2 linked regions of the Oryctolagus cuniculus genome follow. The protein of the gene in region 1 interacts with the protein of each later gene in a pairwise test. Links are inferred from orthologs where the notes say so. Each region holds a gene or a part of one and is shown in the gene's direction. Other genes may lie near its edges.

Region 1 (3,809 bases):
AGGTCTTCAAAAAGTTCATAGAAAATGCATAATATGAAAAAGCTATACATGGATTTCATTTTTTTTTTGCAACAAGATAAACTTCTTTTAGTTCCATGTTTTTCATAAACCTTTTGGCGTACCCATGTATTTTGTTCTGAATTTAAAGGATATCCCCTTTCTTCTTCTTGCTTTTCCACTCATCAGTATGCTCTTTCACTTTCCTGTAGGAAATCTTTATTTCACCAATGCCTTTGTGTCTGAAACACTCATAGAAGTTCTTCGGATCAATACCACCTATCGCCGTGTTCTCCTTAAAGTCACAGTGGATATGCCTCGGCATATAGTTGTAGACCCCAAGAACAGATACCTCTTCTGGGCTGACTATGGACAGAAACCAAAGATTGAACGTTCTCTTCTTGACTGTACCAATCGAACTGTGCTTGTATCAGATGGCATTGTCACACCACGGGGCTTGGCAGTGGACCGTAGCAATGGCTATATTTATTGGGTTGATGATTCTTTAGATATCATAGCAAGGATCCATCCTAATGGTGGCGGATCAGAAGTGGTTCGTTACGGCAGTCGTTACCCAACTCCCTATGGCATCACTGTTTTTCAAAATTCTATCATATGGGTAGATAGGAATTTGAAAAAAGTCTTCCAAGCTAGCAAGGAACCAGCAAACACAGAGCCTCCAACAGTGATAAGAGACAATATCAACTGGCTAAGAGATGTGACCATCTTTGATGAGACTGTCCAGCCCCGGTCGCCATCAGAAGTCAACAACAACCCTTGCTTGGAGAATAATGGTGGGTGCTCCCATCTTTGCTTCGCTTTGCCTGGTTCGAACACTCCAAAATGTGGCTGTGCCTTTGGAACTTTGGAAAGTGATGGCAAGAACTGTGCAATTTCAACAGAAAATTTCCTCATCTTTGCCTTGGATAATTCCTTGAGAAGTTTACATTTGGACCCTGAAAATCACAGCCCACCTTTCCAAGCAATAGATGTGGAAAGAAATGCCATAGCTGTGGACTATGACAACATAAATAATAGAATCTACCTCACACAACAAGTAGTCTCTGGACCTGGCCAGATTTCCTATGTCAGCTTGTATTCAGGGAACCATTCTCCAACTGTCATTGCTTCAGGTAAGTGACCCCAGGTTCACACACAAATGATGGTATGTTTCTTATGCATATTAAGACTCTAACATCTTTGTGTGTGTGTTTGCTGGTGCTCGTCCAGATATAGGGACCCCTGATGGTATTGCCTTTGACTGGATCAACAGGAGAATTTACTACAGTGACTTCTCCAACCAGACGATTAATTCCATGGCTGAAGATGGATCCAAGCGCACCCTAATAGCCCGTGTTTCAAAACCAAGAGCAATTGTGTTAGATCCCTGCCGAGGGTATGCTATGATCTTCTTTATTGCATTTCTATCTGCTTATTTATGGAGTAAGTCCTGAAATATTTTATGTCCAGAGGCAGCCAGCATATTATTGACTTATATATGATTCATTGCTTGGAAATCCCATTGAGTGATTTTAACTGGGAAAGAGGGTGTGGTGAGTAATTCCTTTTGATGATAAAAAGATGCTAAGTAATCAGTGTTCTGACTGGGCAAATCCATTTAGAGCAAGTTTTGTGGGTAGGAATGTAGTAGAGTTTCTTTTGCCATATTAGTGTCAACTAGCAATTAAAGAGTGCTGCCATTTGTTTAAGTAAAAAGGACTGTGAAGTTCCTTATGATGAATTACTTATGATTCCTTTTGGATGACTAGGTACATGTATTGGACTGACTGGGGTACGAATGCCAAAATCGAGAGAGCCACACTGGGAGGAAACTTCCGGGTACCCATTGTGAATACTAGCCTGGTTTGGCCCAATGGACTCACTCTGGACTATGAGACGGACCTTCTCTACTGGGCGGATGCTAGCCTGTATGTGTCTTTTGTTACTCATGTGGGTGTTGCTAAGAAGAGCTCCTTCCTCCACTTACAAAGAAGAGGGATTTGCATAATTTGATGAAAATATAACATGCCAGAGAGATGTTGCCAAATGTAGAATCACAGTATTAGGAACTATGTATTCTAGCTTATTGACTATATATGTGAAACTTTAACTGTATCTTGAGATTGAATAATTATGAACTAAAAAAATTTAAAGATGCATTGCTAATACACCTGTGTTTTCAACTGTAATTAGAAATATAATTGCTCAATTTATAGTCAACAGACTGTAGGCAACTAGTATAAAATGTGAATCACTTCAATTGTTTCTAGATATGGAGAGAGAGGGAGGGAGAGAGAGACAAAGAGAAAGAGAAATCGATTTTCTATCTGCTGGTTCACTCCCCAGATGGCTGCAATGACTGGGTCTGTTCCTGGCTGAATAAGGAACATGGAGCTCCATCTCGGTCTCCCACATGGATGTCAGGGGCCTAAGTTCCTGGGCCATCCTCTGCTGCCTTCCCTGGTACATTAGCGGGGAGCTAGATCAGCAGCGGAGCAGCTGAGACTCAAAGTGGTGCTCTAATATGGAGTGTTGGCATTGCAGATGGCAGCTTAGCTCACTGTTCCGTAATGTTGGCCCTCAAATTTTTAAAACATTCCTATTTATTAGAGAGACAAGGCTCCACCATCTGCTAGTTTACTCCGCAAATGCCTGCAATGGTTGGGTCTGAGTTGGGCCGAAACTGGATCCAGGAGTTCAATTCCCAGGACCAACTACTGAGTCATCGCTGCTGCTTCCCAGGGTGTGCATTAACAGGAAGCTAGAATCAGGAGCCAGAATTGGGAATCAAGTCCAGGTACTCTGATATGGGACATAGGTACTCTAGCCCATGTCTTCAATGTTAGGATAAATGCCTGCATTATGAATAACTTTTAAGTGCATATTAATACTGATTTTTTCCCCCTGGGCTTTAGTATTTAGTATCTTTCTAAAATATTTATCTTTAATCTTTGACTTTTGAGCATCTTCTCAAACAGACTTTTCTTCTCTAGCAAGCTTCTTCTCAGCAAATCTCATAATTTTTGCCTTATACATTTCTGTCAATACGAACTTTGTATGTAACTTCTCTGAAACCCCCAAATGCCTAACAATGCAGTCATCCTAAAGCAATAGTTGAAAGGATGAAATTATTTCATTTATTGTGGCTGGTGTCTACATGTCAGTCATCTCTTCTTGCTGACTTCTTGATGATTTGGTCTTTGTGATGCCAAGTACCTAGCATCCTGATATTTTCTTCACTTTCTCATTTGAAACCAAGCAGCAGTGTTTTGTCATCCTAAATTGGATCATTCTAGGTCAACACCTCAAAATAAGCAGTAAATATCAAATTGAAAAGGTTGTATTGATATTTGAAAGTCAACAATTTTGGTAGGTCCTTGTTTGATAAGCACATAAGACTTCTTATCAATAGAAGATACATCCTAACTACTAAGTGCCCCACTTGGAAAGAAAGATGGAGGCTTGGGGCCAGTGCTGTGTGGTAGGCCAAGCCTCTGCCTGTGGTGCCGGCATCCTGTATGGGCACCAGTTCATGTCCCTGCTGCTCCTCTTCTGATCCAGCTCCCTGCCTGTGGCCCAAGAGCAGTGGAAGATGGCCCAAGTGCTTGACCCTTCATTCACATAGGAGACCTAGAAGAAGCTCCTGGCACCTGACTTCAAATCGGCCCAGCTCCAGCCATTGCAGCCATCTGGGGAGTGAACCAGTGGCTGTAAGACCTCTCTCTCTCTCAAATACATAAATAAAATCTTAGAGAGAGAGAGAGAGAGAGAGAGAAAGGGAGGGAGGGAGGAAAGATGGAAGGAAGGAAGGA
Region 2 (3,809 bases), on another chromosome or scaffold:
CGCCACCCTCTCCCCACCATGCACCGTCAGGGCCTTGGAGAGGGCGGGCCCTGCATTTAGCTGGGGCCCCGGGGGAGCACTGGCTGTGGGACGGGGGCGGTGGCCTTAGATGCGCCCCAGGGGCTCTCAGACACGCTTGCCAGGAATGGAAGGGTCAGGGGATCTGTCCAAGGTGCCAGGCAGGCAGTGGCAGAGCTGGAACTGGGAGGGGCTGTCCCCTAGGAAGGCAGGGCTAGCTTGCCCATGGAGAGGCCTGGGCCCCTGGGGTCCGACCGCCCCTGTCCCCCGCCTCGGCGACCCTCTTCCGGCGCTCCCAGGGACTCCAGTCCGCAGTACGGCCCTCCTCTCCTGGCCAGAGACTCGGTTTTCCCAGGGTCCCTCCTAGACTTCTTCAGATACAAATGTGCGCCCCCTTCTCCCCAATCTCTTGCGGGGGCCCAGCTCCTCGGGCGACCCCACGTCTCCATGGCAACAGCGGTGACTTCATTCTGGGAGCTGCTTACAGCCCGGGTGAGGTCATCGGCCGTTGCCAAGGGAACGGGAGGGTGCAAGGAGCCGGAAGGGGGGTCCGCGGGGAGGGGAGAGGGTGGTGTTCTGCAAAGGGGGCGATCGGGCGGGGAGGGGCGGCCGTGCGCTTCCCGCAGGGGCGGCCCGGAGCCCCCTCTCTTCCCTGCCGCTGCTCTCCGCCCCCCGCTTCGTGGCCGCGCAATGGATTCGTCCGGGCAGGGGGCGGTGCGCGGCGGCCTCGGCCCCGCCCCACCCGGCGCGGCCCCGCCCCCTGACGCCCCTCCGTCCGCGCCGCGCAGCCCCCGCGCGCCGGGCTGCTCTCTGCGGGCGGCGGCGGCAGCGCGGGGAGCCGGCTGCAGGCCGAGATGCTGCAGATGGATCTGATCGACGCGACCGGGGACACTCCCGGCGCCGAGGACGACGAGGAGGACGACGAAGAGCGCGCGGCGCGGCGTCCGGGAGCGGGGCCGCCCGAGGCCGAGCCCGGTCAGGGACCGGCGTCCCGCGGCCAGGGCCAGAGCCAGGGCCCAGGCAGCGGGGACACATACCGCCCCAAGCGGCCCACCACGCTCAACCTCTTCCCGCAGGTGCCGCGGTCTCAGGTGAGGCGCGGGGGGCGGGGCTGAGGGGGCGGCGCCCCGGGGCGGGGCCGGCTCCTGGGAGGTGGGCGCCGGGGGACGGGTGGAGGTCCCTGGAGAGGGCGAAGGAGCGCAGGGATTGACGGGGCCCGGGGAGGGGTTGGAGTAGGGAGCACAGGGCTTGGAGCGGTGGCAGAGGTGTGGAGTTTGGGACCCTCAGGGTCTGGGGTCCCTGGTGAAGGTGGGGCAGAAACGGCGTGGGGAGAGGGGAGAGGGAAGTGGTCCGCTTGGGCGAGGGCCTGGGAAGTTGTGGGGGAGGTGGGGCCTGGGAGCTGGCGTCTGAAGTGTGGGCAGCCTGGACTTCCCAGAGGCAGGGGGGAGGCCTGTGGGATGGCGCTGCTCAGCTGAGCTGGGGGCCTGGGGCCCCTGGGCTGCTGGCCGGAAGCCAAGGAGAGTTGAATAGGGTGGGGAGCGCTGGCCAGGCCCTTTGTCTCCCGGGTCCAGTCAGGAGAGGTAAGGAGGGGACCCAGGGAGGGGGAGCTGCCAGGGGATGGGCGGGGGCTGCAGAGAAACGGGGTCCCTCTCCCTGGATCCTCTGGTAGCCCAGCTCGTGGTGTAAGGTGCGAAGGAGACTTGTATGTGGGCGTTGTGGGGGCCGGGCTGGGGAGGTGCTGCGGATGTGGGCAAGCAGCCGGGAGATCCGGGAAGGGGTCTGCTGCCAGCCATGCCTGTCGCCCCCGCGGGCTGGGCCCCTGGTCTGGGGGCCAGGGGAGACAGTGCCCCGGAGCCATCTGAGTGTCACCGCAGGCTCCCAGGGTACCTCACTGCTTTCTACCCAGGCTGGGCCAGACCGGCCCTGCCCCTTCCAGGATGGGAGTCACGCTGCCCCCCCACTGCCCTGGGCATCTCACGTGGGGGTCCTGAGTCTGCTGCAGACTCCCCCTCCTCACCCCCCACCCCGCAGCCAACCAGCACCACCTTTGCCCAGGCTGACACTTCCCTGGCCACCCCTCACCCCTGCTGCCTGCTGCAGGGCAGGGTGGGGGCAGCGAGCAGCCTGGGGGGGCCCTGTGGGGGCAGGGCCAGGGCCTCCCTGTGCCGGGCACTGCTGACCGCCTCTCTCACAAGGGCCCTTTGTTCGCTGCCCAGGACACACTGAATAATAACTCTCTCGGGAAAAAGCACAGCTGGCAGGAGCGCGTGTCCCGCTCGTCCTCACCCCTGAAGACAGGTGAGGCAGACCCCCCCACACCTGGGCCTCAGCCCGCCCCGAGTCGCCCCTGCAGGGCCCCCACCTTGCCCATGGGGGTCCACCAAGGCCTGGGCTGCGGACCCAGAGCCTGCCCGGGGCCCTGGTGCATGGAGCAGGGACCGGGGTGGGGGGCCCAGGTGAAGGCAGCCCGGCTCAGCACTGCCCCCCCACCTCCACCCTGCCCTGCAGGAGAGCAGACGCCCCCCCATGACCACATCTGCCTGAGCGACGAGCTGCCCCCCCAGGGCAGCCCCGCGCCCACCAAGGACCGAGGCACCTCCACCGACAGCCCTTGTCGCCGCAGCGCTGCCACCCAGATGGCCCCTGCTGGCGCCCCCCCCACGGCCGCCCCTGGGGGCCGGGGCCACTCCCATCGAGAGCGCATCCACTACCAGGCCGACGTGCGGCTGGAGGCCACGGAGGAGATCTACCTGACCCCGGTGCAGAGGCCCCCAGACCCCGCGGAGCCCAGCGCCGGCTTCCTGCCGCCGGCCGAGAGCCGCATGTCGGTCAGCTCCGACCCAGACCCCGCCGCCTACCCCTCCACCCTGGGCCGGCCACACCCCTCCATCAGCGAAGAGGACGAGGGCTTCGACTGCCTGTCCTCCCCGGAGCGGGCCGGGCCGCCGGCGGGAGGCTGGCGGGCGAGCCTGGGGGAGCCGCCGCCGCCGCCGCCGCGGGCCTCGCTGAGCTCGGACACCAGCGCCCTGTCCTACGACTCGGTCAAGTACACGCTGGTGGTGGACGAGCACGCCCAGCTGGAGCTGGTGAGCCTGCGGCCGTGCTTCGGCGACTACAGCGACGAGAGCGACTCCGCCACCGTCTACGACAACTGCGCCTCGGCCTCGTCGCCCTACGAGTCGGCCATCGGCGAGGAGTACGAGGAGGCGCCCCGGCCGCGGCCCCCGGCCTGCCTCTCGGAGGACTCCAGCCCCGAGGAGGACGTCCACTTCTCCAAGAAGTTCCTGAACGTCTTCATGAGCGGCCGCTCCCGCTCCTCCAGTGAGTCGACCTGGCCGGGGCTCTCCCCCTGCCCCTCCCCTGGAGCTGGGGCCACATCCTCCTGCCCCTGCCCCTGCCCCTCCCCCGGAGCTGGGGCCACATCCTCCCGCCCCCTGCCCCCCCCAGCTGGGGCCACATCCTCCCACCCCCTGCCCCTCCCCCGGAGCTGGGGCCACATCCTCCCGCCCCCTGCCCCCCCCCAGCTGGGGCCACATCCTCCCACCCCCTGCCCCTCCCCCGGAGCTGGGGCCACATCCTCCCACCCCCTGCCCCTCCCCCGGAGCTGGGGCCACATCCTCCCGCCCCCTGCCCCTCCCCCGGAGCTGGGGCCACATCCTCCCGCCCCCTGCCCCTCCTCAGGTGCAGAGTCTTTCGGGCTGTTCTCCTGTGTCATCAACGGGGTGGAGCAGGAGCAGACGCACCGGGCCATATTCAGGTGAGCACCCTCAGCCCGGGGCAAGGCTTCGTCC

The links.
Region 2: the proteins of LRP2 (region 1) and MAPK8IP1 interact in a two-hybrid assay, tested with the Homo sapiens proteins (2 studies listed by BioGRID). The link is inferred for Oryctolagus cuniculus from reciprocal best matches to the Homo sapiens genes LRP2 and MAPK8IP1.

The regions. Positions count from the first base shown.
Region 1 is NC_091434.1:71,865,399-71,869,207, forward strand, and holds part of LRP2 (low-density lipoprotein receptor-related protein 2), read left to right. Parts: intron 1-209; coding exon 210-1,130; intron 1,131-1,227; coding exon 1,228-1,393; intron 1,394-1,766; coding exon 1,767-1,925; intron 1,926-3,809. UniProt on the Homo sapiens protein: Multiligand endocytic receptor. Acts together with CUBN to mediate endocytosis of high-density lipoproteins. Mediates receptor-mediated uptake of polybasic drugs such as aprotinin, aminoglycosides and polymyxin B.
Region 2 is NC_091432.1:20,068,238-20,072,046, reverse strand, and holds part of MAPK8IP1 (C-Jun-amino-terminal kinase-interacting protein 1), read left to right. Parts: intron 1-806; coding exon 807-1,109; intron 1,110-2,234; coding exon 2,235-2,316; intron 2,317-2,526; coding exon 2,527-3,339; intron 3,340-3,699; coding exon 3,700-3,775; intron 3,776-3,809. UniProt on the Homo sapiens protein: The JNK-interacting protein (JIP) group of scaffold proteins selectively mediates JNK signaling by aggregating specific components of the MAPK cascade to form a functional JNK signaling module. Required for JNK activation in response to excitotoxic stress.